Elephas maximus indicus: one gene and its partners. The protein of the gene in region 1 interacts with the protein of each later gene in a pairwise test. Links are inferred from orthologs where the notes say so. Each region holds a gene or a part of one and is shown in the gene's direction. Other genes may lie near its edges.

Evidence for each region.
Region 2: the proteins of AP1M1 (region 1) and ZBTB43 interact in binary tests that used the Homo sapiens proteins (3 or more experiments, as listed by UniProt). The two-hybrid records come from large-scale screens. The link is inferred for Elephas maximus indicus from reciprocal best matches to the Homo sapiens genes AP1M1 and ZBTB43.
Region 3: the proteins of AP1M1 (region 1) and TGOLN2 interact in a two-hybrid assay, tested with the Homo sapiens proteins (2 studies listed by BioGRID). The link is inferred for Elephas maximus indicus from reciprocal best matches to the Homo sapiens genes AP1M1 and TGOLN2.
Region 4: the proteins of AP1M1 (region 1) and MTF1 interact in binary tests that used the Homo sapiens proteins (3 or more experiments, as listed by UniProt). The two-hybrid records come from large-scale screens. The link is inferred for Elephas maximus indicus from reciprocal best matches to the Homo sapiens genes AP1M1 and MTF1.

What each region holds. Positions count from the first base shown.
Region 1 is NC_064821.1:36,437,037-36,444,157, forward strand, and holds the start of AP1M1 (AP-1 complex subunit mu-1), read left to right. Parts: upstream 1-4,101; 5' UTR 4,102-4,201; coding exon 4,202-4,243; intron 4,244-7,121. Other genes in the region: protein FAM32A, read left to right, coding at 1,281-1,349. UniProt on the Homo sapiens protein: Subunit of clathrin-associated adaptor protein complex 1 that plays a role in protein sorting in the trans-Golgi network (TGN) and endosomes.
Region 2 is NC_064827.1:77,762,675-77,769,980, forward strand, and holds the start of ZBTB43 (zinc finger and BTB domain-containing protein 43), read left to right. Parts: upstream 1-4,293; 5' UTR 4,294-4,412; intron 4,413-7,306. UniProt on the Homo sapiens protein: May be involved in transcriptional regulation.
Region 3 is NC_064835.1:49,271,411-49,278,777, reverse strand, and holds the start of TGOLN2 (trans-Golgi network integral membrane protein 2), read left to right. Parts: upstream 1-4,355; 5' UTR 4,356-4,417; coding exon 4,418-4,463; intron 4,464-4,636; coding exon 4,637-5,394; intron 5,395-7,367. UniProt on the Homo sapiens protein: May be involved in regulating membrane traffic to and from trans-Golgi network.
Region 4 is NC_064821.1:79,444,277-79,451,909, reverse strand, and holds the start of MTF1 (metal regulatory transcription factor 1), read left to right. Parts: upstream 1-4,629; 5' UTR 4,630-4,696; intron 4,697-6,322; 5' UTR 6,323-6,373; coding exon 6,374-6,781; intron 6,782-7,633. Other genes in the region: INPP5B (type II inositol 1,4,5-trisphosphate 5-phosphatase), read left to right, coding at 464-548, 900-1,027, 2,126-2,237, 2,489-2,604. UniProt on the Homo sapiens protein: Zinc-dependent transcriptional regulator of cellular adaption to conditions of exposure to heavy metals. Binds to metal responsive elements (MRE) in promoters and activates the transcription of metallothionein genes like metallothionein-2/MT2A.

The sequences.
Region 1 (7,121 bases):
ACTGATGGAACAAGAGTAAGTGTTAACCTTTAATCAGGATCTTTTTTCTTTTTTTTTCTTCTATCTAAACTGTTTTAAGAACTGTTCCTTTAATTTTTTTTTTTACAGTGCTGTATACCTACACACACAGATTCTCTCTTCAGTACAGTATTGTATGTAGTTATTTTTATTATCGTATTATTATGTACTGTATTACGTTCATGATGTTTTAGTGTATTTGGAAGTATTTAAGGGTTTTATATGCATAGAAAGGTAAAATATATACTAAGACAAACATTTGACTGACACTAAATAAGAATCATATGTACCTGTTCTGACTTACCTGCAAATTCGACTTAAAGACAGAGTTAGGAATGGATCTCGTTCGTAGCCTGGGGACTACCTGTATTCACACACACACGCACGCACGCACGCACGCACACACACACACAGATTTATTTTGAAGAATTGGTTCATGAACCTTTGGGGGGCTGGCAAATGCAAAATCCATAGGTTAGGAGATAGACTGTAGACTCCTGCAGTATTCTGTCCCAAAATCAGTAAGTCAGGCGGCTGGGGAGAGGGGGATTCTGACAGAATATCTAGTCTAGAGGCAGAATTTTCCCTTGGGAAACCTGTGGTTTGCTCGTAAGGCCTTCAGCTGCTTGGATGAGGCTCACACACTTTATGAGGGTAATCTGCTTAAGACCAGCTGATAAAAACAATTATTAGCTGCTATTCAGTCAACGCCCAGCTCATGGCAATCCCATGCACAATGGAACCAAACACTGCCCGGTCCTGCGCCATCCCCATTTGTTATGGATTGGACCATTGTAATCCAAAGGGTTTTCACTGGCAAATTTTTGGAAGTAGATCACCAGGCCTTTTTTCCTAGTCCGTCTTAGTCTGGAAGCTCTGCTGAACATGCAAGTCTCCACGGACAGATGGGTGGTGGCTGCGCTTGAGGTGCATTGGCTAGGAATGGAACCCAGGTCTTCCACATGGAGAGCAAGAACTCTACCGCTGAACCACCACAGTAACAACTAGACTGGTGTTTGATGAAACAACTGGGCACCATCGCCTAGCCAAGTTGATGCAAAATTAACCACCACAGGGTCCTCCCAGGGTCATTCAAGGGAGAGCCCAGGGTTCGGGCATCTATAGGACCTGGCAAGTTGGGTTTGAGTGGAGAGTAGGAAAGGAGAGGCAGGACATGGAAGAGGTGGTGTGGGCAAGGCTTTGTGCCCTTCACACCCTGCATGGGTCAGTGCTGAGACGAGCTTTCTCCTTGACCTTCACAGGACTTCAACAGACACCTGGACACACTCACAGAACATTATGACATCCCCAAAGTCAGCTGGACCAAGTAGCCTCCTGGCCCCTGGGCATGGCGTGGCCTCATGGGGAAGCAGAAGACAGAGTTGGGGTTAAGTCGGGTCCCTTTGGCATTTTCTAGAAACATTCTTTTACCCATGCCTTTGCATTTTCTGCTGCAACCGTGCATTTTGAAACTGTCTCCTTGTTCTAGAACTTGATTAAAGTAAGACTGTCCTTTGACTCAATTTTGGTTTTTAGTGTGGGCTGGAAAGCTTTGGAAGTTTATCCAGAGGTTCAAGTCGTTGCTGTGTAAGTGCCATGTAAGAATATTTAGTTCTCTGAGTTGCATTTAAGCTTCTGAGGACAACCAAGCAGTTCTCTTCATCCAGATAAAACTGACTCCAGAGGATAAGGAGCTAATGCTGGTGTGGCCTGCAGTGTGCAGACCCCCTTATATGTAGGCTCCCCTTCTAAACTCCCATGAGCTTGGGGCTTAAGCTCTTCCATCCAGGATGCAGGGAAGCTACCCATGGCTTTGTGGTCTTCCAACCACCTCCACAGCCCTCTTGCCTGGGACGCAGAGGATGGCTGCCTATGGCAGGGATGAAGCATCCCACCTGGTCCCTTTCTGAGCCCATGACTGGCTTGCAGCCCCTCTCCCAGTTTCCCCATCCCAGACACTTCTAATGGGTGTCACCATGGCCCCTGTGGCAGACATTGCAAATCATTCACAGCCTTCTTTGTAATGGAGCCCAGATACCACCTGACTCCCCCCTCAGCCAGGGTTCCAAGTTGGCACATGACCAGGGCTGAACTCCAGCACAGACAGACATGTATGTGATCAAACAGAAGGACCCCATTACCGGCGGTGGAGAGCCAGGGTCTTTTGGGGGCCTGTGTTTATTGGATGAGGCTCAATCTGTATACTGGGGGAGACAGTCTCTGCTGACCCAGCTTCTGAAAGAGTAACAAAGCGAGAAGACAAAAATCAAGTGTGGGGCTTGAGGCTGTTACATGTGAACTGCAGAATAAAGCAACAACCAATTATTAAATGAGTCTGTGTGTCTTAGTTATAAGCTGTTTGGTTTCCACACGGGAGGCGGCCTCTTGAATTTATCGCACATGAAGGGTGTGCATGCCTGTCTTAGCTATCTAGTGCTGCTATAACAGAAATACCAGAAGTGGGTGGTTTTAACAATGAAATTTGTTCTCTTACAGTCTAGAAGGCTAGAAGTCCAAAATGAGGGTGCCAGTTCTAGGGGAAGGCTTTCTCTCTTTACCAGTTCTGGGGGAAGGCCCTTGTCATCAATCTTCCCCTGGTCTGGGAGCTTCCCTGCACTGGGAACCCTGGATACCAGTGCTGCTTTCTTGGTGTTATGAGTCATACCCCCGCCATCCCTTGCTTCTGTTATATCTCAAAAGAGATTGGCTTAAAACAGAACCTAATCTTGTAGATCAAGTCCTGCCTCAGTAACGTAACTGCCACTAATCCCATCTCATTAGCATCATAGAGACAGTATTTACAACACATAGGAAAATCACATCAGATGACAAAATGGTGAACAATCACACAATACTGGAAATCGTGGCCTACCCAAATTGATAGATGTGTTTTTGGGGGACACAATTCAATCCATGACAATACCTTAAAGGACTAAAAACAAAAGGTCCCTGAGTGGTGCAAATGGTTTGTGCTGGACCACTAAAGGTGGTTCAGAACCACCCAGTGGCGACCCAGAAGAAAGCCCAGCTATCTTCCACAGAGATTTTTTGTCAGGTGCCACTGAGGCATTGGCAACTCATAGTGACCCCATGTGATAGTGGAATGCTCCATATGGTTTTCTTGGCGATAGTCTTTATGGGGGTGGATGGCCAGGTCTTTCTGCCGAGCGGCTGCCTGGGTTTGAACTGCCGGCCTTTTGGTTAGCAGCTGGGTGTGTAACTGTATGTGCCACCAGCCAAGAAAACCCTGTGGAGCAGATAGGGTCATCATGAGTCGGAACTGATGGCAGCTTTTTTTTTTTTTTTTTTTAGACCAGGGATGGGAGGAGGGAAAAAAGGCGAAGTTATTTCTTAGGAAGCAGTGAGCTTTTGTTAAGAAACCAAAACCAAACCAAACGCACTGCTGTGGAGTCGATTCCGACTCAGCGACCCTATAGTTTCCAAGGAGCGCCTGGCGGATTTGAATTGCCGACCTCTTGGTTAGCAGCCATAGCACTTACCCACTAGGCCACCAGGGTTTCCCTTCTGTTACGAGTGATGGAAAAATTTAGAAACTGAGATGGCTGCACAACATGATGAACACAGCATCACTCGATTGTACATGTAAAAACTATTGAAATGGTAAATATTACATATTTTTACCACAATAAAACAGACTGTTCTTTTCATCTATGTTCAGTGAGGGCGTGGTTTTCACGAGATCATTCCAGGCAATAAGCAGAAAACCACGCTTTTCCACTGACGAACGTTAGTAATGACAGGTGACAGTGACCGCGGTAAGGCGTAACTGCCTTTCAGAGAGTTTCCTTGACCTTTTTCCAAGTAAATCGCCACCTCTCCCCTCCCAACGGAGCCTTCTAGACTCCCACATCAGACTGCGGCTCCGTAAAGCCTGGGCCCCAGGTGAGGCCCCCCTTTGACATCTTGCACCTAACTAGGCGCGGACTTCTGGATTCTGGAGGCGGGGTGGGAAACGTGGCTCGCACCGGGCTTCTGCGCCTGTGCACGCTCCGTTCTGCGCCTGCGCGATGCTGGCAACTCCGCCCAGGCCGGACATAACGGTCCGCGCGCGGCTCCCAGACCGGAAGTGGAGGCGGGCTGTCGCGGGGCGCCGGCCTTGATCAACGCCCGGCTGTTTCCGCAGCTGCTGTTGAGGCTGCCGCCGAGGCCTCCGGCAGCCGCCATGTCCGCTAGCGCCGTCTACGTGCTGGACCTGAAGGGCAAGGTACTCAGGGCTCCCCACCCGCATCGTTGCCGGGAAACCGGCGGGGGCCTCGCCCCTCGGGGACCCACCCCGTTGCTAGGTGACTGGCCAGTGGGCCCCACCAAGGTGTGAGGCCGGGAGGCTGCAGGGCCGCACCTGAGGACTCCACCCTATTACTGGAGAAGCAGGCGGGGTCTTCTGCCCGCGAGCCCCGCCCTGTTGCTAGGTAATGCAGTGGGCTGCCTTGTGGTTGGCAACCGCCAGGTAACCGGCTTCACCACCCTCCCCGCCTCTCAGCGAGGCTCGGGAACTCAGGCCTCCGTGGGGGCCCGGGAGGCCTCAGGGAGGGCAGGCCCAGCGCTGAGGGACCGCGCGACCCTTGGCCAGAAGTGGCGAGGCGTGGCGAGAACAGCATGCCCTGGGGTTCGTTCCGCTCTTGGAGTCGCAGCCGCTACAGTTCAGCGGGCACCTTTTCTGTCCCAGACCCGGTAGGCGTTGCTCAAGGAACGTTCATGGTGACACTGAGTCTGTACAAGAGTTAGGTGAAGTGGGCAGTGGAAGCGCCAATGTGCAGAGGGGGAAACCGAGGCACAGAGGCTGAAGCACCCACCCAAGGTCACACGGGTCGCAGAGAAATGGCAGGTGGAGGCCTCGATCCCAGGAGGCAAACCCAGAATCACCTATTGGCTCAGCTAATTTTTGTAGGACTGGTACTGAGCGCTAGACCAGGCTGCTGTTCTGGTTTCTCCACTCCAAATTACGATGACTCAATGAGTGCAAAGCAGAACTGTGCTCCACAGGGTTTTCTAGGCTGTGACCTTTTGAAGTAGATAGCCAGGCCTTTCTTCCAAGGTGCTTCAGGATGGACTCAGTACCAATCTTTCAGTTAGCAGCCAAACTTGTAAAGCATTTGCACCATCCAGGGATTCCAGAATGTTACAGGTTGTTAGTTGCCAGTCAATTCTGACGCATGGCCACCTCATGTGTGCAGAGTAGAGCTGTTCTGCATAGGATTTTCAAGGCTGTAACTTTTCAGAAGCACATTGCCAGGCCTGTCTTCCGAGGCACTGCCGGGTGGTTTTAAACCACCGACCTTTCAGCTAGCAGTCTAGTGTAACCGTTTGCACTACTCAGGGACTAGCGCCAAGCAGGGGGAGCAGTCCCTGTCCCGTGGGGCCCACAGTTTGGTAGGGGAGTTGGGCAGTAACCTCAAAAAACACAAACCAATATGCACTGCAGTGGAAGAGCGATGACCATGTATAGTAGGGAGGTCCCACCTCAACTCAGGGATCAAGGAGGCCCCCCAAAAAAGTGGCAAGTGCACTGAGGTGGGAGGGAGTGTTGGACATGCCTGGATCAGGAGCTTATGCTGGTTCCAAAAACCAGGTGCCTTTCCAGGAGAGTCTGACCAAAAAACCAAAACCAAACTCGTTGCCGTCAAGTCCATTCTGACTCACAGCGTTCCCATGTGTTACAAAGAACTGAGCTCCACAGGGTTTTCTTGGCTATTATCTATATGGACGATCACTAGGACTTTCTTCTGCCACACTGTGGGGTGGGTTTGAACTGCCAATCTTTAGGTTCGCAGCCAAGCACAAACTGCTTGAGTCACTCAGGGACCTTAGGGGTGTCTGAGAGAGCTGCTTAAAGGAGTGGTCATGAAAGCCTTTCAGAGGTGGGCTGCTGTCCTCCCCCAAGCCCACCCAGTGGTGGAGAGGCAATGGCCATCTGACCTCTTACATCTGGGAGTGACAAAAACAGATACAACAATGTCAGACAAGTCTGATGTTGATCATTGAGAGGGACGTGGATGTCAGGTCCTGGGGGAGGGAAGGGAAGTTAGCACAGAAGCAGACAGGAGCCAAGAGGTGACCTGACTGCCTCTCCCTCCACCCCCAACACCTTTCCCATGAGTGGATGGCCTGAGGCTCCCCTCCTTGGATGCCACCCAGAGTCAACAGCTTTTGGCTCCCTTGTTTGGCTTCCTTGCCCAGCCTTCTCAGAGGCAGGGAAGACGGGCACCCCAGGACTGGAGGAGCAGTGTACCCTGAGGCTTTGTGCTTGTGTTCTGCTTCCGCCCTGGCCCGTCTCACTGGCTCATGGCTTTAGCAAATGTTATGTGAGCACCTAGCACGTGTTGAGCACTGTGCCAGGCACAGGGGGCCCCTTTGGCCCTGGGGCCTGGGCGAGCTCAGCACCCTTCCCTGCAGCACAGTGTGTGGCCTTGGCAGGCACCTCCCCTTGGGCCTCACTTTCCTCATTGATCAAGTGAGTCCGTTTCGGGGATGTTGTGGGGACTTGCTGAGCGATATGCGAGGCTCAGCCCCATGCCCAGCCTACTGTCCACAGCCCTCAGTCCAGCTGGGAGACACGCCAGGCAGCAGATACATTACCGGATGGTCAAATCCTGCAGCCACAAGGGCAGGGACAAGCCCTGAGGGGCCACAGTTGCTCAACCTCACTTCGGCTGCAGGAAGGGAGGTGGTTACAGAAGGCTCCCGGAGGAGGTCTGGGTTTGGGAAGGTGACCAGGTGGCAGTCAGGTTAACAGGGAGGCAGTCCAGTGGGTGCACGGGGGTCAGGGGCAGCCACTGGGGCTGGAGAGCCAGTCATCCCTCATAATGCTGGTGCATGGAGGGCAGCACCAAGGGGACTGTGGGTGTTGAGATGTACAGATGGAAGAGGGGACAGAAGGACACAGGGAGGAGGAGCCACCACAGGGAAATTGTGGCTGGGAGAAGCATGACCAGTCTTGCCTTTCGGAAGCTCATTTTCAGCAACCAAGACGACATTTATTCTTCCCCTCACCGTGGACTTCATGCCTGGAAAGCTCACCTCTTGAGCAGATGGTGTTTAAGCAACACTAAGTGAATAACACCTGAAGCAATTCATGACCACGC
Region 2 (7,306 bases), on another chromosome or scaffold:
CTGCACAAATTTAAGTTAGTACGAATTGGTGTTGTTAGGTGTCATCAAGTCAGTTCCAACTCATACTGACCCTATGCACAACAAAACGCAACATTGTCCGATCCCGTGCTATCTTCATAATCAGTGTTATGCTTGAGCCAGTTGTTATAGACACGGTGTTAATCCACCGCGTCAAGGGTCTTCCTCTCTTTTACTGATCCTCTACTTTACCAAGCATGACGTCATTCTCCAGGGCCTGGTCCCTCCTGATAACCTGTCCAAAGTACATGAGACAAAGTCTCACCATCTGTCTTAGGCTGGGTTCTCTAGAGAAGCAAAGCCAGTAAAGCATATATATATATATATATATATATATACATATATATATAAAGAGAGAGATTTACATCAAAGAAATGGCTCATGCATTTGTAGGCACTGGAGCGTACCAAGTTCGTAGGTCAGGATAGAGGCTTCTCCTGATGCATGTAGCCACAGGGACTGGCGAACCTAGGATTGGCAGGTCGTAGAGGAGGGCTCTTGTTCACAGGCTGTAAAGATCGATGAACCCCAAAGATCAACAGGCAAGACTGCAAGTAAACTGCTAGCTCAAGTCCCAAGAACCAGTGATCAGATTAACAGGAGCCAGCTGCAGGATCCAGAATAAGCGAAAGCCCACAAGCCTTGCCAGAATATCCACTTATACTCACTGCAGGCCACACCCCCAAGGAAACCCCCTTTCAACTGATTGGCTACTCAAAGCAGATCCCTTATGGAGGTAGTCACATAATACCAAATCTCATCATGGAAGTGATCACACCACCAGACAACTATCAAATCACTGAGAATCATGGCCCAGCCAAGTTGACACACAACCTTAATAAATTATGCCACCCTTGCTTCTAAGAAGCATTCTGGATATACTCCTGCCAAGACAGACTTGTTCGTTCTTCTGGTAGTCCATGGTATGGACAATATTCTTCACCAACACCATAATTCAAAGGCATCAATTCTTCTTTGGTCCTCCTTATTCATTGTCCCGTTTTCACATGAATATGAGGCAACTGAAAATAACACAGCTTTGTTCAGGTGCACCTTAGTCCCCAAAGTGACATCTTTACTTTTTAACACTTTAGAGGATCTTTTGCAGTAGATGTGCCCAATACAACAGTTGTTTGATTTCTTGACTTGTGGTTTCCATGGCTGTTGACTGTAGATACAAGTAAAATGAAATCCTTGACAATTTCAGTCTTTTCTCTGTTTACCATGATGTTGGTCATTGGTCCAGTTGTGAGGATTTTTCTTTTCTTTATGTAGGGGTGTAATCCATACTGAAGGCTGTAATCTTTGATCTTCATCAGTAAGTGCTTCCTCTTCCCTTTCAGTGAGCAAGTTTCTGCCATCTGTATATCAAAGGTTGTTAACAAGTCTTCCTCCAATCCTGATGCCACGTTCCTCTTCATATAATCAAGCTTCTTAGATTGTTTGCTCAGCATACACAATGAATAAGTATGGTGGAAGGATACAACCCTGACAGACACCTTTCTTGATTTTAAACCATGCAGTATCCCCTTGTTCTGTTCTAAGTATCTGCCTCTTGGTCTATGCACAGGTTCTGCATGAGCACATTTAAGTGTTCCTGAATTCCCACTCTTCACAATGTTATCCATTAATTTGTTATGACACACATAGTCGAATGCCTTTGCATAGTCAATAAAACACAGGTAAACGTCTTTCTGGTACTCTCTGCTTTCAGCCAAGATCCATCTGACATCTGCAATGATATTCCTCACTCTGTGTCCTCTTCTGAATCTGCCTTGAATTTCTGGCAGTTCCCTGTTGATGTACTGCTGCAATTGCTTTTGAGTGATCTTCAGCAAAAATTTACTTGCATGTGATATTAATAATATTGTTTGATAATTTCTGCATTCTGTTGGATCACCTTTCTTTGGAATGGGCACAAATACGGATCTCTTCCAGTCAAGTGGCCAGTTACCTGTCTTCCAAATTTCTTGGCACACACTAGTGAGTACGTCCAGTGCTGCATCCATTTGATGAAACATCTCAACTAGTATTCTGTCAATTCCACGGCAGCCTTGTTTTTGGCTAATGCCTTCAGTGTAGCTTGGACTTCTTCCTTCAATACCATTGGCTCTTGATCATATGCTACCTCCTGAAATGGTTGAATGCCAACCAGCTCTTGTTGGTACAATGACTCTGTAGATCCCTTCCATCTTTTTTTGATGCTTTCTGCATCATTCAATATTTTGCCCACAGAATCCTTCGGTATTGCAACTTGAGATTTGAATTTTTTCTTCAGGTCTTTCAGCTTGAGAAAGTCGAGCATGTTCTTCTCTTTTGGTTTTCTAATTCCAGGTCTTTGCACATTTCATTATAATACTTTACTTTGTGTTCTCAAGCCTCCCTTTGAAATCTTCTGTTAAGCTCTTTTACTTCATTTCTTCCATTTGCTTTAGCTGCTCTACATTCAAGAACAAGTTAAGTGTCTCTTCTGACATCCATTTTGGTCTTTTCTTTCTTTCTGTATTTTTAATGACCTTTTGCTTTCTTCATGTATGATGTCCTTGATGACATCCTACAACTTGTCTGGTCTTAGATCATTAGTGTTTAATGCATCAAATCTATTCCTGAGATAGTCTCTAAATTCAGGTGGGATACACTCAAGGTCACACTTTGGCTTTCAGTTGACCTGTTTTAATTTTCTTCAGCTTCAAGTTTAACTTGCAAATGAGTAACTGATGGTCTGTTCTGCAGTTGGTCCCTGGCCTTGTTCTGACTGATGATATTGAGCTTCTACATTGTTTCGTTCCTCATATGTAATCAATTTGATTCCTGTGTATTCCATCTGGCAAGGTCCACATGTATAGTCACTGCTTATGTTGTTGAAAAAAGGTATTTGCAATGAGGACGTCATTTGTCTTACAAAATTTTATCATGCAATCTCCAGCATCATTTCTATCACCAAGGCCATATTTTCCAACTACTGATCCTTCTTTGTTTCCAGATTTTGTATTCCAATCACCGGTAATTATCAATGCATCTTGAATGCATGTTTGATCAATTCCAAACAGAAGTTGGTAAAAATCTTCAATTTCTTCATCTTTGGCATTAGTGGTTGGTGCATATTTGAATTATAGTCGTATTAACCGGTCTTCCTTGTAGGAGTACAGATATTATCCTATCACTGACAGCACTGTACTTCTTGAGATGCTCTTTTAGACGACGAATGTGACCCCGTTCCTCTTCAATTTGTCCTTCCTGGCACAGCAGACCATGACTGTCTGATTCAAAATGGCCAAGAGCGGTCCATTTCAGCTCACTATGATTTTGCTCCTCTAAAATAAGGGGCTTTAAAGAGGTCCAGTGAAACCCTGGTGGCACAATGGTTAAACACTGGGCTGCTAATAGAAAGGTCAGCAGTTGAAATCCACCAGCAGCTCAGCGGCAGGAAGACGTGGCAGTCTGCCTCCGTAAAAATTTATACCCTTGGAAAGGGGAGGTTCTACTTTGTCCTATAGGACCACTATGAGTCGTAATGGACTCAAAAGCAATGGATTTACTTTGGTTTGGAAACAGGCCCAAAGGAGTTCCCGGGTGGCCCAAACCGTTAAGCACTAGACCACTAGCAGAGGTTGGAAAGAGGCCTGGGAAGACCCGCCTGACGACGTGCCTGATCTGCCTCCAAAAGGTCACAGCCTTGAAAACCCTATGGAGCGGTTCTACTCTGCACACTTGGGATAGCCATGAGTTAGAATCGACTCCACAGCAACTAACAACAGAACAGGTCCAAGTATAAAAGGCTCGAGTCCCATCCTGGAGGACCTCTCTTCTACACTAATGTGCGTGTGTTTGGGGTGGGGGAGAATTAGTGGAAGCAGGGGAACTGGAGTGTAGAGGAGGCGCTCCTGTCCCATCATCTACCACACGCGGAAGCCCAGCACAACGCCAGCCACACAGAGAATACTAATTTTTTCACTGAATATTTATTGAGCACCCACTGTGTGCTAAACAGCGGGGTGGACCCTGTGAATGATTTTACACAATCTCTGCTAGGTAAGCTGAGACATGTTGAGGTTTAGAAAGAGTTTAAAGGCTCAGTATTGGTGACCGAACGCCCACCATCAAACCCAGAGCTCCTTAACCAGATTGATCGCCCAAAGCCGTACTGCGCAGGCGCCAGCTATCTCTTGTGGCTCTCCCGACGCTCCGCCCCGAACGTGAGTCCCGCATGCGCACATCGCTTTCCTCGCTGACGCACCCCCGGAAGCACAGTTTCGGGGGCGGGACCGAGAAGCATTTCCGGGGGCGGGAGGCACAGGCTGAGGCGGTCGCAACGGCGACGGATTGAACCGACTTGTAGCCGGCGATTGAGAGGTCCTCGCAGTTGGGCGATGTGAGTGTGGAACCCTTGGCAGGTACGGCGGGATCGGAACAACGGGCAGCGAGGGAGGACGGAAGGAAGCCAGGGTGGTTTAAGGATTTCTCTGCAGGCCCCGGCGTGCGCGCGCAGCTGGCCCGCCGGGCCCATTCTGCTGACGGGGATGCAGAAGCCACGCGCGGAAGGTTGGAGTCCGAGCACCCCGGGTCCGAATGCCGCGGTCTCCAGCCGGTCCGGCGCGCCAGTCGTGACACCGAGGCCTTTGGGACAGCGTCTCGCCCAAGGTCACCCCCCAGCGGTGGAGCTTGGCCGGCCTGAGCTCTTAGAAATCTCGTCCCCGTCCGTCCGTCTGCCTTACGGGGTGCTGGGTGAGCGCAGTCTGGTGGTCTCGGGTCCGAGCCACCGGCGCACGAGGCCTTGTGAGGCAAGGCCGGGAGAAGGGCTGAGCCCGGACTTCGATCTGTCTCTCCTTCCCTCTGGGTTTCACTTCTGTCACTCTTCCTGTAACCTGTTGTCACCTGCCATTTCTGTCTTTGTACTTGGACCATGTCAGCATTGTATTTCCACTTTGTCTCTCTCGAACCCATCTCTGTATCTGGACCCTGTCTTTATCTCTGTCTCCACCTTGCTTCTGTGTCTGTCGAGCCTGTCGCCGCCTCTCAGTCTTTACTCTGATTCGTGGCCTGCCTTAGTACGTGTCTTTGGCCGTCTGTTTCTCTCTTTCTCCCAGTGCCTATATCTTTCTTGTCGCTCTCCTAAATGGGTGGATATGGGTGGGGTGGAGCAGGTCTGCCCAAACCTCTGAGCCATGGAAGGTGACTCATGACCCCAGTAAAGTTCCCGGCACTGGTGACTTTGTCAGACTGGCCTCAACTCTGACAGGTGTCAGACGTAACTAATTGTCCAAAGTAACTAAGTGTCATGGTTCAGGGGGGCCTGGCTAGCCAACAAGAGACCATCTCAGGGTCATAGTAGCTAATGATTCCTTGCCTTTTCTTGCCCATGGTTTTTCAGGTCTGCACAACCCCCTCTACCCACCCACCCTCCACATCACTTTGCCCCATCCCCTTATCCCAGGATGATCTGCAGAGCTCTCAGGAGTCTGCTTTTTGAGTTACAGCTGCTTACATAGGCCTGACTACAGGCTAAAAAGGGTTCTGGCTGAGATCCTCTGCTCTAGGGGCTCCTGGAACAGCAGCAGGATTTCTGGGAGAACTGCATGCTTAGTTCAGAGATTGTGTCAGTATGTACAATTAAGTTGTGAGAAACCTAATAATTAGGGGGTTCATTCTTTGCTTTACAAAAGTACTCACTGGAGACTCCTGAAACTAACAAGCTCTTTTTCTACATGTGATTTTTAAAAATTCATTATGTAGCTTTTAGAAACATTTGATTGAAGCTATATTTATTTACTGAGGCCTGCTCTCTGCATAGCAGTGTGTACTGCCAAGGAGAGACCATGGAAGGTCCTTAGAGAAAGAGAGAGTTTAGTTAAAGCAAAAATAGATTCTTGCCCTGACTCTCCTCCCTCCATCTTCCTTGGATTCTGTACAAAAATCTGCTGCAAATAGGAACCTTGAGGAAGATTTTACAGAAATCTTTTCAGAAAAAAAATCTATCAAAAGAAAGCTCTTAGGGTTGGAAAAATAGCCCTTTTATTATCATAACGCACAATTATGTATTTTTCTCCTGTGTTCTGTCATTGGGAAGTTTTTATGTTCTCTTATGTAAGCTGTTAGTTTATCCTTAAGGTAGTTTGTCAAGCTTTCTTATTAGATGTAGCAACTGAATTACTACCATATTTTATTGAATCCTAGTGCCATTGATTATTTTATGAATGACCAAGGAAGAAAACACTGCCAGTTAAATAAACTATGACATAATGCTTTCTTATTACTTAGACTTTGTATTTTATTCTTACTGAAAGCACTTTTAGACTTACTTAGACTTTTTAAAAATAATATTCTAATGCATATATGTGGGACAAAGAACTTGGTTTTATGCCTTGACTCTGGTTTCTGAAAATAGGCTGACTAATTAAGGTGCTCTTTGTCTTTATAAAACATCGAGGCTAAACTTGTTGTTGATTTTGACTCGTAGCAACATCATGCAACATAGTAGAACTGCCTCATAGGGTTTCCTTGGCTGTAATCTTTACAGAAGCAGATCGCCACATCTTTTCCTGCAGAGCGGCTGGGTAGGTTTGAACTGCCAACTTTTCTGGTAGCAGCAGAGCTCTTAACTGTTTGCACCACAGGCGCTCCTTAGGTGAAACAAAAAAAATCCACTGCTGTTGAGTTGATTCCAACTCATAACAACCCTATAGGACAGAGTAGAACGGCCCTATAGGGTTTCCAAGGAGTGCCTGGTGAATTCGAACTGCTAACTTTTTGGTTAGCAGCCGAACTCTTAACTACTACGCCACCAAACTTAAGCAAGTGTAAATAAGTAGGGTTTACGCAGACCCCGCCCTGGCAACAGGCCTCAGAAAGGCAAGGGGGATATGATGCAGTCATACTTATTTATTGATTAGATCTATCATAACTGTGCCTTAAGGCTCAAGTCATGCATATTCATTGAGGTCCTAACGACCAGGGGACCTTGGACCTCGGGGCGCTCTCTTTGGGACCTCCTGGTTCCAAGAGAGCATCCACGCACAGGAGAGGAAGTGGCACGTTTCTGGGGACCAGTGGAGGCCCTGTGCCGGGAACTCTCCCAGACCTTGCCTATGTATTTCTACGCTTGTATACTTTCTCGTTATAATAAACGGGTAACTGTAAGTATAGGTAACAGTATCCATTAATTCTCTGAGCCGTTGTAGATAATTAATGAACACTCAAGGGCAGTGAGTCAGCAGGGGCTGCCAGTACAGCATGTATTTGTGTAGACCCAGCTCTGGCTGGCTGGGTGATAGGGAAAAGCCGCCCAGGC
Region 3 (7,367 bases), on another chromosome or scaffold:
TTTGCTACCCAGTTGCAAAGCTTTTTTTTAATACAGCCTAGATATATCTCTTATCAGATACGTCGTTGTTAGGTGCCATTGAGTCAGTTCCAGCTCACAGTGACCCTATGTACAACAGAATGAAATACTGCCCGGTCCTGTGCCATCCTCACAATTGTTACGCCTGAACTCGTTACAACCACTGTGTCATCAGATACATGATGTGCAAAAATTCTCTCCCATTCTGTGTGCTCTCTTCACTTCTTTGATGGTGTCCTTTGAAGCATAACTGCCCTACCAGAACCTCCGGTACAATGTTGACTAGAAGTGGTGATTGGACACCCTTGTCATACTCCTGACCTTAGGGGGAAAATATCCAGTCTTTTGCCATTAAGTGTGATGTTAGCTGTGGATTTTTCATACTTGCCCTTTAAGAGGTTGAGGAAGTTCCCTTCTATTCCTAGTCTGCTGAGTGTTTTTATTATAAAGGGGTGCAGGGAAATTTTAAGATTAATGTTACCTCCTATCATGCCCTTAAACCAAAACTGGTGTGAGTTAGGACTTAATACTAAAATCTGCCTTCCACTCATCCCAAGGAGGAGCACTGCCTGGAGAAAAACTATGCAACTCAAATAGGTGCCACAAAAGAATCGTGGTGCCTGAAATCAACCTTCAGGGCTACTCACCAATTCCTACCCTCGTCCTTTGTCAGCTCCCTCTCCTAATCCCCTCGACAACTCTTCTAACTCTCTACCATTTTCAAGTCCTCAACTTAATCCCTACCTCCTCATTCATGGAAGACTGCCTTCCCTCTTAAAATATCAAGAAAGTTAAGTCCAGCAAAAATGCTGTATTTCTATTTCTCACATTGCAACCTAAATATCTACACAATCCCTACCCATTCTGTCTTCCCACAGGTCTCAAGGTCAACCCTTGTTCAAGGTCAACTCCACTGACTTTTATACCCCAGCCCTTCATCTCTTGGTACCTTGTCCCGTCAGTCATCTGATGATCACACTTCCTCTTAATGCAACTTTCCCCTCCGTCAACAAGTAAACCCAATCCTTTCCCATATTAAAGTTTCACATTGAAACTTCCAGAGAAAATAGTTTCTGCTTACCTTGCCATTCACTGCTTATCCCACTGCAACCAGGTTTTGATGTTACCAGTCTACTGGAATTCCTAATTCTGAGTCCTTCTCTTACTCTATGCTGTGTGTGATACCGTTGATTTCATTTCCCTTCTAGAAAACACACAGTTCTGTGACAATTGGGAGTCCTCGAATGATGCCGATAGAAGAAACAGTAGAAAACAAGTAGACGGTAGTGCCCCAGAAGACAAATGACAAGACTAGTTGTAGCACTAAATGCTACAAAGAGGCCTGCAAAATAGGAATTGTACGTAAGATTTTGTAATGTGCTTAACTTCAGTTAGCAATCTTATCCTATGCAAATATGTGCCTGTTAAAAAAGGGAGAACCACAAAAATAGTCACAATAATAGCTAGCTCTGGATTATGAAATACTTTTCTTACTTTGGCCTATCCTATTTTCTAATTTTTCTATAATGAACATATTAATTATAATAATAATAACTAGCAATTTTGGAGGCTTAACACTGTTAAATCCTATACATGAATTATCTAATTCTCAAATTTTTATCCCCATTTCATAACAAAGCTGATATCTAAAACAACTAAGTAAACTGCTCAAAGTCATGTAAATTATTTGTTCATTAAAGATTAAAGAATACAGTTGGACTATTTTTCTCCTGTCAAACTGGCAAGTTAAGAATATTCAATGCTATCAAGGACTAGGTGATAGAGTGACCCTGGACAGGTTAATTTTTTCTGAGTGTCGTCTCATCTTAAAATGCACCAAACCAGAACGTGACACTAGATTAAAAAAGTAGCTGTTAACCAAAAGGTCAGCAGTTTGAACCCAATAGCCACTCTGTGGGAGAAAAGATCTGGCAATCTGCTCCCATAAAGATTACAGCAGTTCTACTCTGTCATATGGGGTTGCTACAAGTCAAAATCAACCCAACAGCACATAACAACAACAGAAGTTTCAGAATAACCCAAATGTCTAATATTAATGGAACTGCCATAAAAATTATGATAAACTCATAAATTCCTTTTTTAATGAAATCATTAATAGTGTTTTTTGAACAATGTGTAAGTTCTAAGGAAAACTCTTCTATCTTTGAACTCCATGCCCACATTTCCAACAACTTCCTTCCAACTTGACTGTCTCACAGGCATCTTAAACAATCAGAAGAAAAATCAATTTTTATACCCCACCTCCCTCCAACTTGGCCTTCCTTTAGTGTTCCCTACTTCAGAGAAACAGCACCTCCACGCCTTACTCCCTCACTGCATGCCCTCATCTCCAAGGCTTGTCAGTATTACCTCCCAGATTTATCCAGAATCCAACCACTTCTCCCCATCCTCACTGTCCCCACACTAGTCCTACCTGGACTACCGTAATAGTCTCCTCATTAACTTCCAAGGCAACTCCTCCCTCCCCACTCTCCAAATAGTTCTCCAGACTTCAGCCAGAGTAACCTACAAAAATCCCAACTCTGATTACATCTTTCTCCCACTTTAAACCTCTTCAGTGGCTTCTTCTTACTTACTGTCAGATATAATACAAAACTCTGGGCATGGCCCACAAACTGCATAATTAGGACTCCCTTGCTCTCCTGCCTGGTACTTGTGGATACCATGTCAGATTTAATAATTTGCCACCCCCTGCCCCTCTCATTAAGGAGTCTTGGTGGCACGGTGGTTTAGTGCTTGGCTGCTAACCAAAGGTCAGTGGTTCAAACTCACCAGCTGTTCCACAGGAGAAAGCTGTGGCAGTCTGCATCCATAAAGACTGGTGGATTGGAACTGCCAACGTTCTGGTTACCAGCCAAGCTCTTAACCACTGTCAGGCTGTAATCCTTTCTGGTAGGAGTGATTGCCGCTTATATTTCAATCTGAGTTAACTGGACATATTTTCTGTTAATTCAGTTGTATTTTTGTGCTCCACATGTTTTTGTAATCTGGACAACTCTCAGATCATTTACTTCTTCATCTGGTTTTTCTCCAGCCTCAACCCCTGCCATTCTCCTCACTCCCCCTTGCCTCCAGGCCTCTGCACTTGCTGTACACTCAGCCAGCAAAGGTCTCCTCCTCCTCTCTTCAGCCCCACCTAGGAAATACCTACATCCTTGGTCTTCTGCTCAAAAGTCCCTTCCCAGGGACGGATTACCCAATAAACCAGGTATGCACAGGCTCACTTGTGCTTACTTACTAGTCTGGAGTACACAATTTCACCTTTTTTTCACCACATCTTTGATACCCTTGTGAAACTGTGCACAATAGATAGTAAAAGCCTAACATTTTCTGCATCACTATCTACAAACCACAACTGTTCATAGTTTTCCATCAGCATTTAATGAATACACATAACAGTAACTGTAACTGTTGGGATGCAAAACCATTTACCCAGTGATCCCAATTTGGGAAGAAAATGAATATGCATAAAGAAGAAGGCAGAAAATGCACTCATTAAGAAGACGTGGGAAACAAATGCATCTGTATTTGCTTTTAAAAAAAAAATGAGGTTGGAAACACAGTAAGCCAATATAACTGGTAACTTGTGTAGGGAGCAAGGGCTTTCAAACGTATTTTTTTTTTTTTAAATCCCGTGATTTTTCAACCACGGGAATGTATTCCCTAACCAAAAATATTAAATATTTGCAAAACAAAATACACTAAAACTTCAACGATGAGAATATGGTGTTGTTTTCTACTTCCATACTTTAAATCCTCTGCAGTGAATATAAATAACTTCTATGATCAGAAAAAAAAAAAAATCGTACTTTTTAGGGGAGATCTTTGGCCACGTCGGAGCTTTCCGTGGAGTCGCAAGGGCGGTGGGCAGGGAAGCGAAGGCTGGCGCGACGACGGTCCGGATGGGTTTGTTTCCAGACAGGAGCGCCTCGGGCACAGCAGGGAAAGAACCAGGAGAAGCGGAGACTGAAAGGGCGAACCGAGGCGGAAAGAACAGGCGGCCGGCGCCAGCGAACTCGCTCCGGGACGTTTCGCCAGCAGGGGAGCACCCGCTTGGCCTGTATGTGTCTCAGAACTACGAAGAAGAAAAAAGAGAATGACGGTCTGTTGAGGTTGCTTTTGTGGAAAAATAAACAGGAGAGGTGGACAGACTTCCCACCGGAAGACTCTAAAGCGCCCGGCTGAGCGAAAGCACTACGTCCTGAAAGAAGCACCGGAAGGACTCGGCGGCCGGGCAGCCCTTGGGTAAGCCCCGCCCACCACCCGGGGAAGGGCGAGACGCGGGCAGGAAACCTGGGGGCCGTGAGCTCACGCGAGGTACCCACCTCCGTGCGGATCTCGCGAGAGCGATAGAGGGCGGAAGCGCAGTCCATGCAGGATGCGGTTCCTGGTTGCGTTGGTACTTCTGAGCGCCGCAGCGGCGGGTAAGACCCCCTCACTACCCCTGTCCCACTCTTGCCCCCAGTTCGTTCGCCCTCACCCGGGCCGGTCGTCTTCCCTGCCCGACCCACCTTTCGCTGCGGCATCAACTCCATCCCTCCCCCACCCCGGCCGTTGCCTCGGTCTCTTCCTGGAGCAACGGGTTCCTATTTTTCAGGACCCTCGGAGCCACAAGCCGCCGAAAATCTGGCCCCCAGTCCCAAGAAAAATGACACTTCTATAGCAGAACAGTCGTTTAAGGAGGATCGTTCCAGCAGACCCACTGTGGGTTCGACAACCAGAAAAGACACCCCTGGCAGTCCGGGTACGGAACAGACGAACCTGAAAGTCGACCCTAGTAGTCCAGGTCCGCAACACACGACTCGGAAAGTCGACCCTGGCAGTCCAAGTCCGCAACACACGACCCCGAAAGTCGACCCTGGTAGTCCAGGCCCGCAACTCACGACCCCGAAAGTCAACCCTGGCAATCCAGGTCCGCAACACACGACGCCGAAAGAACACTCTGATAACAAGCAGCCCTCCAAGCCTGGCCCGGACGCAGTAACTGACAAAAAAGACAGTCTGCATGCTTCTAGGACAGAATCTGGGGAGAAAGTGTCAACAAACTCTGACCCTGCTTCTCCCCAGCAGGAAGGAGATCAGTCTTCAGAGCCTGCTGAAGATGTGGAGCCCAAAGAGGCTGAAGAAGATGATGGAGAGCCTAAAGAGGAGTCACCACCCAAAGAAGGGATGTCAGGCCAGGCCCCCAGTGAGAACCGTGAAGGCCCGCCTTCGGGTTCTATGAGTAGTGAGGATAACCTTTTTAAGGATAGTCCTGGAAGTGCTAGTGCGGAGAGCAGCCACTTCTTTGCGTATCTGGTGACTGCAGCCATTCTTGTTGCGGTCCTCTATATTGCCTATCACAACAAACGCAAGGTAAGCTGAGAGTTGCCTTAGGGAGGGGAATGGGATTTCCTCCACTCTGAAATCGTGGTGTATGGGCCAGTTTTCATCACTCATTCGCCTGTGAACACAGGAATTTTAAGACAAACTTCAATTTTTCCTCAGGTCCTGTCAGGGCTCTTCACTCTTTTTGTAGATCTTATTTCCATGATGTCACCTACCTGTTTTCCTCTCAACGCCCTCTGCTGTTGCATTAAGTGCCAAGTTAAGATATTATGACCTGTCCTGAAGTGGGTGCCCCTCCCATAACCTTGAACTTAGAGCCTTCCCAGCTCCAGAGAACTTGGGTACCTGACAGTTTATAAGTTCTTAGGGCTATTGTCTTCCCATTTCCACTTTTGACATGAGTGTGTCATTTCTAGCTTTCCTTTCCAAGCTTCTGTCTTCCATCTGCAGAGGTAGAAAGAATGGTTTCAGTTACATAGTCTTCTGCATCAACAGCAAGGAGCCCTGGGACTATCTTCTGCAAGGTAGGGTTTCCAATAACTAGAAGAAAACCCAGAAATCCCACAGATACATTTTTTACTTCTTAGCAGGATTTGGTGTTAAATGACATCCCTGCCCCTTAACAACCACTTTAACGACGAAACGGTTGCATTTCGTATTGAGACCTAAGCATTTGAAGATAGTTTCTGTAGCCTCGTGTCTTAGTTACCCACAGCCAATGTAACAGAAATGCCATAAGTGGATGGGTTTAACAGCAGTTTATTTGCTTGCAGTTGAGGAGGCTAGAAGTCCAAATTTAGGATGCCAGTTCCAGGAGAAGGCTTTCTCTCTCTGTCAACTGTGGGAGAAGGTCCTTGTTATCAGTCTTCCCTTGCATGGGACTAGAAGTATCTCAGCACAGTGACCCTGGGTCCGAAGGACATGCTTCCCTCCTGGTTTTTCATTCTTGGTGGTAGGAGTTCCCTCTGTCTCTCTGCTCTCTGTCTTCTTTTATTTCTTGTAAGATAAAAGGTGATGCAGGCCACACCTCAGGGAAATTCCACTTACATCAGATCAGGGCTGTGACCTGAGTAAGGGTATTTCATCCCATCCTAATCTTCTTTAACTTAACCTAATCTTGCCTCATTAACCACTGGCAAAATTAGGATTTACAACACATAGGAAAAATACATCATATCACAGAATGGTGGACCACCACACAGTACTGGGAATCATGGCCTAGCCAAGTTGACACATATCCTTGGGGGCACAGTTCAATCTATAAAACCCGAAAACCAAACCCACTGCCATTGGTTCATTTACGAATCATAGCGACCCTATAGGACAGAGTAGAACTCCACCATACAGTTCCCAAGGAGTGCCTGGTGGATTCGAACTGCCGACCTTTTGGTTAGCAGCTGTAGCTCTTAACCACTACGCCACCAGGGTTTCCATTCAATTTATAACACCTGGTTAAAATCTCAAAGTCCAGCTCATGGCAGTCAGCCTATAGCTGTGAAGAGCAAGCGAGAGCATTGAGTAGAAATGTGCTCCCCTTACTCCACATCCAAGTGACTCAGCTATTCAGCAAAGGAGGAACCTTAGGAGTAGCCCGAGGGTAGGAACGTTAAGAGTGCACTTGATCTAGAAGCAAGGTATGGATATGAAATAATTACTGACAATTATTTTTAAAAAAAGTCCTCGCCTGGAAAACTCAGCCTCTGGAGCTCTCTGGGAAGGAGTTGGCAGCTCCATCAGTTCGGTGGCCTTGAACTGAGAGCTCACGAGTAAATCATGCAAACTCCCACCAGCTGCAGCCCAGAACAGACCAGCCTTCTTCGTCTTTTGTTCCTGTCAAGCAGTTACCTAAATGAGCCAAAGGTGGCCTCTGTATTAGCCCCATGTTGTTTACTTCACAGCAAGCTGGGGCCTGTTAGCCCAAAAAGCCCACCTGCACCAAACTCATTTTTACACATCTAATTGTAAAATCGCCCAAATAAGCAGATTTTTAGCTCCTTAGA
Region 4 (7,633 bases), about 43 Mb from region 1:
AATGGATATAAAGTATCCTGGGACTAATGGAAATGCCTTTATTGCCATAACCTTGTTTGCACAAAGCACTGAGGTGCCTTTTTAGCTTTCTCCTTCTTATAAATGGTATACTTTCTTCCATTTTTCTTTTTCTGGTTCATTTCCTCCATACCACTGCAAGAAGCCTAGCGACTTTGAAGTTTTTCCTTACACTGGATCGTCTTGTCCTACGTACTATATACCCTCCTGTAGTTTTATGGTAGATCTCTTGTCATTCTAAAGACCTCTTGTGGGGATACATTGGGGAAAGCCTGCAAGATGAATTAGCCACATCAGCCTTGATCAGATTGTCTACCAGGGTGGTCCAAGGGCCTCACCACACTGCTCCTTGTTGTACTGTGCTGGTGATTATATTTCTAGTTCAGGAAATAGTTACTGATTTTCTAAGAAAATAATTATTTTGTGACTTTCTTCCCTTTTGCAGGAAGATCTGTTTCAGCAGCCTGGCCTAAGGTCGGAATTTGAGCATATCAGGGACTGTTTGGATACTGGAATGATTGACACCCTCTGTATCCTTCAGTCATTCAGCTGTGCGTGTGTGTGTGTGAGAGAGAGAGACAATGAATAAGAGAAAGAAACATATTTTAAGGTTCCAAAGCTGATGCCATATCCTCCGCTATTATGTTTTCCTTGCTTAAAAGTTTCCATAGAGAAGACTTTAAGCAACCAACGTAGTGGGAACTCAGGAGGGCCTAGCTATGCTGACAAACAGCTTGGCTCCTTGGAGATGTCAGGCTGGTATCCTAGCTCTGAGCCAAGAGACTGATTGAGCAGGCAGTGCTTCTGGCATATGCTTGCTCCTGAGCCTTTTCCTAACCACGGGCCACATCATCAACCATTCCTTAACCCTGGGCCAAAAGCTGCTAACAATCATTCCGTAGCCGAGGCCTTGCTGCTTTTCCTTGAGAGCCTGCCAGAGCCTGTCATCTGTCACAGCGCCTACCATAGCTGCTTGGAGTGTTCTGGCAACTACACAGCAAGTAAACAGGTGAGGGGAAGCCTTAAGCGTCAGCATACACATGTTGCTAGCCCCAGGCTTCAAGGGTCCTGAGGAAACAAAGTAGGCACAGTCCCTCAAATGAAGTGTCTTAGGAACTCAGCTTCATATCGTTACTCCCCAAACCTGCTCTTCCTCTCATGTCCTTTTTCCTTTTAATGCCATCACCATTAATTTCAGCAACTCATTCTGAAACCTGAGTCATATATGTCTCCTCCCTGTCTCTCATCTCCCACATGTCAAGTCCCATGCTCTCTCCTCCATCCTCAATCCACTCACCTTGGTTCAGGGCACTGCATGCAGGCTCTCCCTCTGCTGACTTGTTTTGCATACTGCCTTCAGATTGTGTTGCCTAACACTGTCTTTCATCATGTCACTATTGCTCAAAAACCAAAATTGGCTCTCCATTGCCAGTTAGGGTTTTCTTACACAAATATTTAGGACCTTCTGTGATCTAGGCTAGTGGTTCCCACATACAACAGACCATAGCAGAATAAGCTAGAAAGCTTGTTAATAATATAGGTTCCAGAGCCTCAGCCCAGATCCACTGAATCAGAATCACTATCAGTGTGCCTAGGAGTTGATTTTGTACAAGCTCCCCAGCTGATTCTGATACGCCTGTAGCTGGAGTACTCGGCAAATCCTAGCCTGATCAGCCCTGCAGGGCTCAGCGTCTATTAAACAGTTGTGCCACTGCCAAGATTGACTTCTCACAGCGTGTTCTCCTGACTTATCTCACTGATTGCCTTCTCTTGCCCCCCCCCCTTTTTTTTTTTAACACTTTCTTTGGTTCTAAGTACCCTATTCCTTGCTTCTGTAAGTCCAATTTTGTCTGTATTCAAGACCAACTAAAATGCCATCTATCCCTTGAAGTCATTTGAGAACATGCAGTTACAAGTTTGACCTTTAAATTCATATGGTGCTTGATCTGTGCCACTTTTGGCACTTGTGCCAAGTGATGAAAATTTTCTGTGCACAGTCTTACTCATGTACTTGGATCGTGTACTTAGTTCCGGGAATATAGTAGGCACTTGACAAAATAGTTGATTGAATGAATGATAAGACAAACACCAATTCTTCCTCTTTCAGGTCATTTCTACTCTCCCCACATTCCACAAAAATGTCTTCAACTACTTGATGGCGTTTTTGCAAGAATTGCTGAAAAATTCAGCAAAAAATCATTTGGATGAGAATATTCTAGGTAAGCAGCCAAGTGTTTGTGAGAAGCATCTCCGCCAACTGAGAAACTCATTATGCAAAATGCGATTGAGTACGGTCCCAAGTCTACTGCAATAGAACTAAAATCTCTAGCTTTGGGCGAAGTTTAACACTCCACTAGTTTTTCTAAAAGCAGAAAGTACTGTTTTTGGTCATTCTCCCCTCTCCTAACAACTCAAGAATAAGTAGGACCTTTTTCTGCTGAATCATTTGTTTTCTGTGTTTTCCATGCAGCTAGCATATTTGGCAGTTTGCTGCTTCGAAACCCAGCTGGTCACCAAAAGCTTGACATGGCAGAGAAGAAGAAGGCTCAAGAATTTATTCACCAGTTCCTCTGCAACTCAGCCTGAGCTATTTCCTCTCCTGTTTTATCAGAGGCAGCCATTACAAGCCCCACCTGTTTCAGCTCAAGGGCTGCCTTTAAAGGGTGTGAGGCCCCTTGGAAGCAAGAATTGGCAGCTGCATGTTTCCTGAGCCCAGAACCTCATGACTAGCACACTCCGTGCTACTGTGAGTTGTGAAGACATAGGGGAACATCTACCACAATAAAACTGACATTCAATGTTCAACTTTTGTTACTTAACACAGATATATCTCTATTTTATTTTATTTTTAAAATATAAAAAATAACTGTACTTCTTGTGCTCAATCAGCCTGCCTCCAGGGCAAAGTCAGTGTCTTCCCTGTGGCCTGGGCTGAGCTCCCATGGTCAGATATCATTTAAACAAACTTTGGAGTCCTCAAAGGAGAGCGAGTTGGATGGCAAGAATGCAAGTGGAAGCTTCTGGACAGACAGACCACAACCACCCCAGATGCTTCCAGTGCTTCGTCTGAGGACATGTGTATATGCATATGCAGATCCTAGACCTCTACCTACTCAAAAGTGGCTCAGTAACTCTGAGGCTGGCCACTGGAGACAGCACAGTGTCTTGAAAATGAAAACAGAAGAAATCGGTGTTCTCATGAAACAAGTGGAATTTTCTGGACCAGCAAATCCTCCAAACTGTATATAATGCATCCCTTCTCTCAAATGTATATTTTGATGATAAATGTATTTTTAACAGTGGTTGGTGTGTATATTTTTCTTTCTTAAGAGATGGCAGCTCTTGACTGCTGGGCCTTTGTGGTATAAGTACTGGGGGCAGTTCGTCAGGGACCAAAGAGATGTTTGCCTGGCAGTCTGGTGGGTAACAGGTACTATTCACATTTTTCAAGCAAGAAATGGTAGCGTCATGGCCTGAACCCCAAGACCCTGATCTAGTCTCTTTGGGGGTTGTCCTACTCTGAGAGGCAGCTTATGGAAAAATACAGGCAGTTGGCTGTTGGGAGTGCTAATATCTAGATCTTCCTGGTATTTGAGTTTGACTGAAAGGATAGGAGGATAACGAAGGCACAAGAAAGATTGCTTTTTGGGCACTGAAGCGCCACTGCTTGGCGCCGTAAAACGCGATTTTAGAAATGGACCTGAATGAAAACGTGTACGGTTAAAGAAAGTAAGTGGCCGGTAGGTGGAGTTGACTGGCCTGAGCACGAGCCCCACTGAAGCTGACTACCCTCTGCAGGAAACAATTGGGGCTCAGAGCTTGGGCAGGAGTGTGAAGAAGGGATTTGGGCCCTTCTGAAAGCGTGTGAGAACAGGAAGAAGCGGCGTCCTCTCTGGCTTGGTTTGGAGTACTCCTAGTTCTGTCTCTTAGGTCTAATCTTTTATTAATTTTCCTACTGAGTCCCTGTCCTCGTCTATATTTTAACTTTAATAAGTGATGAGGGGGAGCTGGGGCCATTGAGAGTGAAATCCGAGAATGCTTCTAGGCTCTTCCCCTGCGGGTGTGAGCCGGGATTCTGTGGTTAACTGTGGACCTTCCAGTTGCAGCTGTGGCCGCCAGGGCGAGAGTGGCGAGCTCAACCCGGGCTGAAGTGCCTTCGGATTAGGGGTTGGGGGTTCATGCCGGTTCCCTGCGCAGAGCCGGATTACCCGATAAACAAGGTACGCAAAGGTTTACTTGTGTGTACTTATTACTTTGTAATGAACAATTTCAACCCATGTGTTCACTACAGATTAGGAAGTAAACACAAGTAAATCCGTACGTGCCTTGCTTACTGGTTAATCCGTCCCGTCCCTGCGTCTGGGGCCGAAATAGCTGTGCCTTGGCTTCCAACCGATCGCGGACTGCCTGGGGCGCTTCCCGGCGGGAGTCCAACTCAAGGCACTGGCTGAGTCCCCTCGGTGCCCCGCCCCACTCTTCCCGCTCGCCAATTGGGGGCTCGAGCTCAGCCCCCAGCTCGCCTAAACCAACCAGAAGCCCAAGAGAGAGGTGAGGCGGCTTTCCCCTCCTTCCTCCGGAAAGCGGAAGCGGAAGTGACGTTCGGGGAAGGTGGGGGCAATCATGGTGCCGCTGGGGAGGGGAGAAGCTGCTGCTGCCGCCGTTGCCGGGAGCCGCGGAGGTAAAAGGCGAAACTAGACTCGGCCTGGGCTTGGGACTTCCCGGGGGGCGCGAGACGTAGGCTCCCTTCTGAAACATTTCCCAGTGGAGACCTCAATCCAGTCACCATAGGGACCCCACCCCTCCTCCGTTTCCATGGGGATGGGTATCCAGCCCCCCTCCTCTGTTTCCATGGAGACCCGGACCCTGTCCCTCATCACTCGGCTTGTAGCCCCCAGTTCTGTCTCGGATTTTTCCGTGTATCCCTGAGCTGGGGGCTGTCCCAGACAGGTTTCTTTCCTCAGCCTCCTCTCAGAGGTGCTTCGTTCTTACTCCTCGTTTGCCATCCTCAAACCTGTTCTGTTTGTTCCGGACAGTTGATCTCCGCGTTGCCGCTGATGGTGCCGGGACAGCCCAGTGGGACTCTGGGTGCTCTTATCTCTGCTCTCAGATGCAGCGAAATGTGCATCTACCGGGTTGCGTAAGCCAGAGCCAGGGGTCGAGCCGGTTCCTCCCGGACCTGATCCCTTGGCCTGTGCCCGGTAACTACCTCTGTCTAACCGCCCCTCTACGTAAAAACTCACTTTCTAACCTAGAGCAGAAGAGAAAGATAAAGTGCAAAGTGGACTGAAAACTAGTGATGTGTTGATTATTTTTAAATTCTCTTCTGCCTGCCATACCCACATTTGTAGAAGCTCTGTGTTTGGAGGTGAAGGAAGAATCACTATTCTAGAACAGGAAACCTTCAAATTTGGTATTTTGCCCAGGAGAGTATATTTGTAGGTCTTTCATTCATTCACCTAACATTTCCTGAACTTCTAGTATCAGTGTACTCTGCTAAGGGCTGTGGAAACAAAAATAAGTTAAGACTCATCATGTCTTCACTGCAGAGAGCCACTATACTGGCATAGCTTCTGGTTAACATCAAATTGTTTTAGGACAGAAATAATTAAAGTGATCTTCATTAGGTGTGTCCAATTAGGGAGCACCCTCTCCACCCAGAAGCTGAAACATCTGTTCTAGGAAGAAGGGAAGGAATTAACAATGTTCCTTTACTATTTGTCAGACGCTGTGTTTTACATACATTATCTCTTTTACTCCTCGTGACAACTTTGAGAGAACAGGAATTACTAGTCCCACTTACACATAAGGAAAATGAAACACAGAAATGTTACCCAAGTAGTGAAGGGCAAAGCCAGGTTTTGTAGGTAGGTGAGTATGGCTCCAAAGCCTTACTCTTCTGCCATAGACTGCACTTCCTCATGATCTGATTTGGGGAATATTTGGGTGGGGTTTTCTTACTTTAATATTTACAGCGACTCAGCCTTGAAGCAGCTACTCTTCTGTTTGCTCCTTTATCCCCTTTAGGTGTTTTGACCAGTGTTCACATTGTTTGACAGGAAGGCATATTCAGAAGGTCTTATGAACTGATTGGCTACTTATTCAAAAATTTTTAAAAGGCATTGCTTTTCCTTAAAACTGACTCGAAGATTTCAAAGTTAAACTTAAAGGAATTATTCCCAAGGAAGATGATTTTTTATTTGCTTTGTCCTGTTCTTTAAATGAGAGGGAAGATGAACCCTCTTGCTGCTGAGGAGGCCCCTGGGTCCTGTGGTATGGCTCTAACTCTCGCCTTGTTCTATTGCAGAAGGGTCATCACCTTTCCATTTCTCGCAATTGGGCTGAGCGCTGTTGAACCATGGAGGAACACAGTCCAGACGACAACATCATCTACTTTGAGGCAGAGGAAGATGAGCTGACTCCCGATGACAAGATGCTCAGGTTTGTGGATAAAAACGGACTGGTGCCTTCCTCATCTGGAACTGTTTATGATAGGACAACTGTTCTTATTGAGCAGGACCCTGGCACTTTGGAGGATGAAGAAGACGATGGACAGTGTGGAGAACATTTGCCTTTTTTAGTCGGGGGTGAAGAGGGCTTTCACCTAATAGATCATGAAGCAATGTCACAGGGTTATGTGCAACACATTATCTCACCAGATCAAATTCATTTAACAATAAACCCTGGTTCCACGCCCATGCCAAGAAATATCGAAGGTGCAACTCTCACTTTGCAGTCGGAATGTCCAGAAACGAAACGTAAAGAAGTAAGTAAATAGGAGGTGAGGGTCCTGTTTGGCACTGGGGAAAGTTGAACATTGGTTACTTCAGTAACTCGTGTTGGCAGTTTTAGTTGGGGGGTAAAGGACAATCACTACATGTGCTTCATGTTTTGTTGTGACTGCTTTTTGTTGTCTGGAACTATTGGTTTGTATAGCTACACTGAAATTTTGGAAAACTAATTATAATTCCTCAAATTTTCTTCCCCAAATCATAAATAAAATAGAAATTTCACTGAGGGGTAACTCCATGGTTCTGATGCTGACAGAACTAGATTTGGCTTATCGGCTAGTGAAATAACTGGATTTGACTCATCTCTGGGTTGCGTATTAATGGTTTGTTTTGGAGATGGGTATCTGCTGGTATATGCTTTATTATCTTACAAAGTGTTTAATAAATAATAAAGACTAGCTTTCTTTCCCAAGAAATTCAGGCAAGAGGTGGTAAGTGGGAGCAGTTTATCTAAAGTAAGGTTTCCCTCTCATATTTAACTAATGTGAGGTTATGCATGCCAGAATGCTTTGAAAACTGTAAAGCATTGTACAGATTGTACTGGTGGTGGCTATTAGTGAAATAAAAAATATGGTAAACTTTAAAGGTATCCAATAACTGGTTACAGATTATTTAGGAAAAAAACAGGTTACTGGTAATTACAATGTCAGGGAATAACTATCAAATGTTACCAAACAGAAATAGGGCAAATCATTTAGCAAAATATGTGTCTCTTTTTTTGTAATTTAAGTCTTGAAATTGGGGGAATTTTATTATTCACGACACACGTCTTTTCCTTTGCTAGCCTTAGAATCTAGAGCTAGAAGGAACCTTAGACCATCTTATCT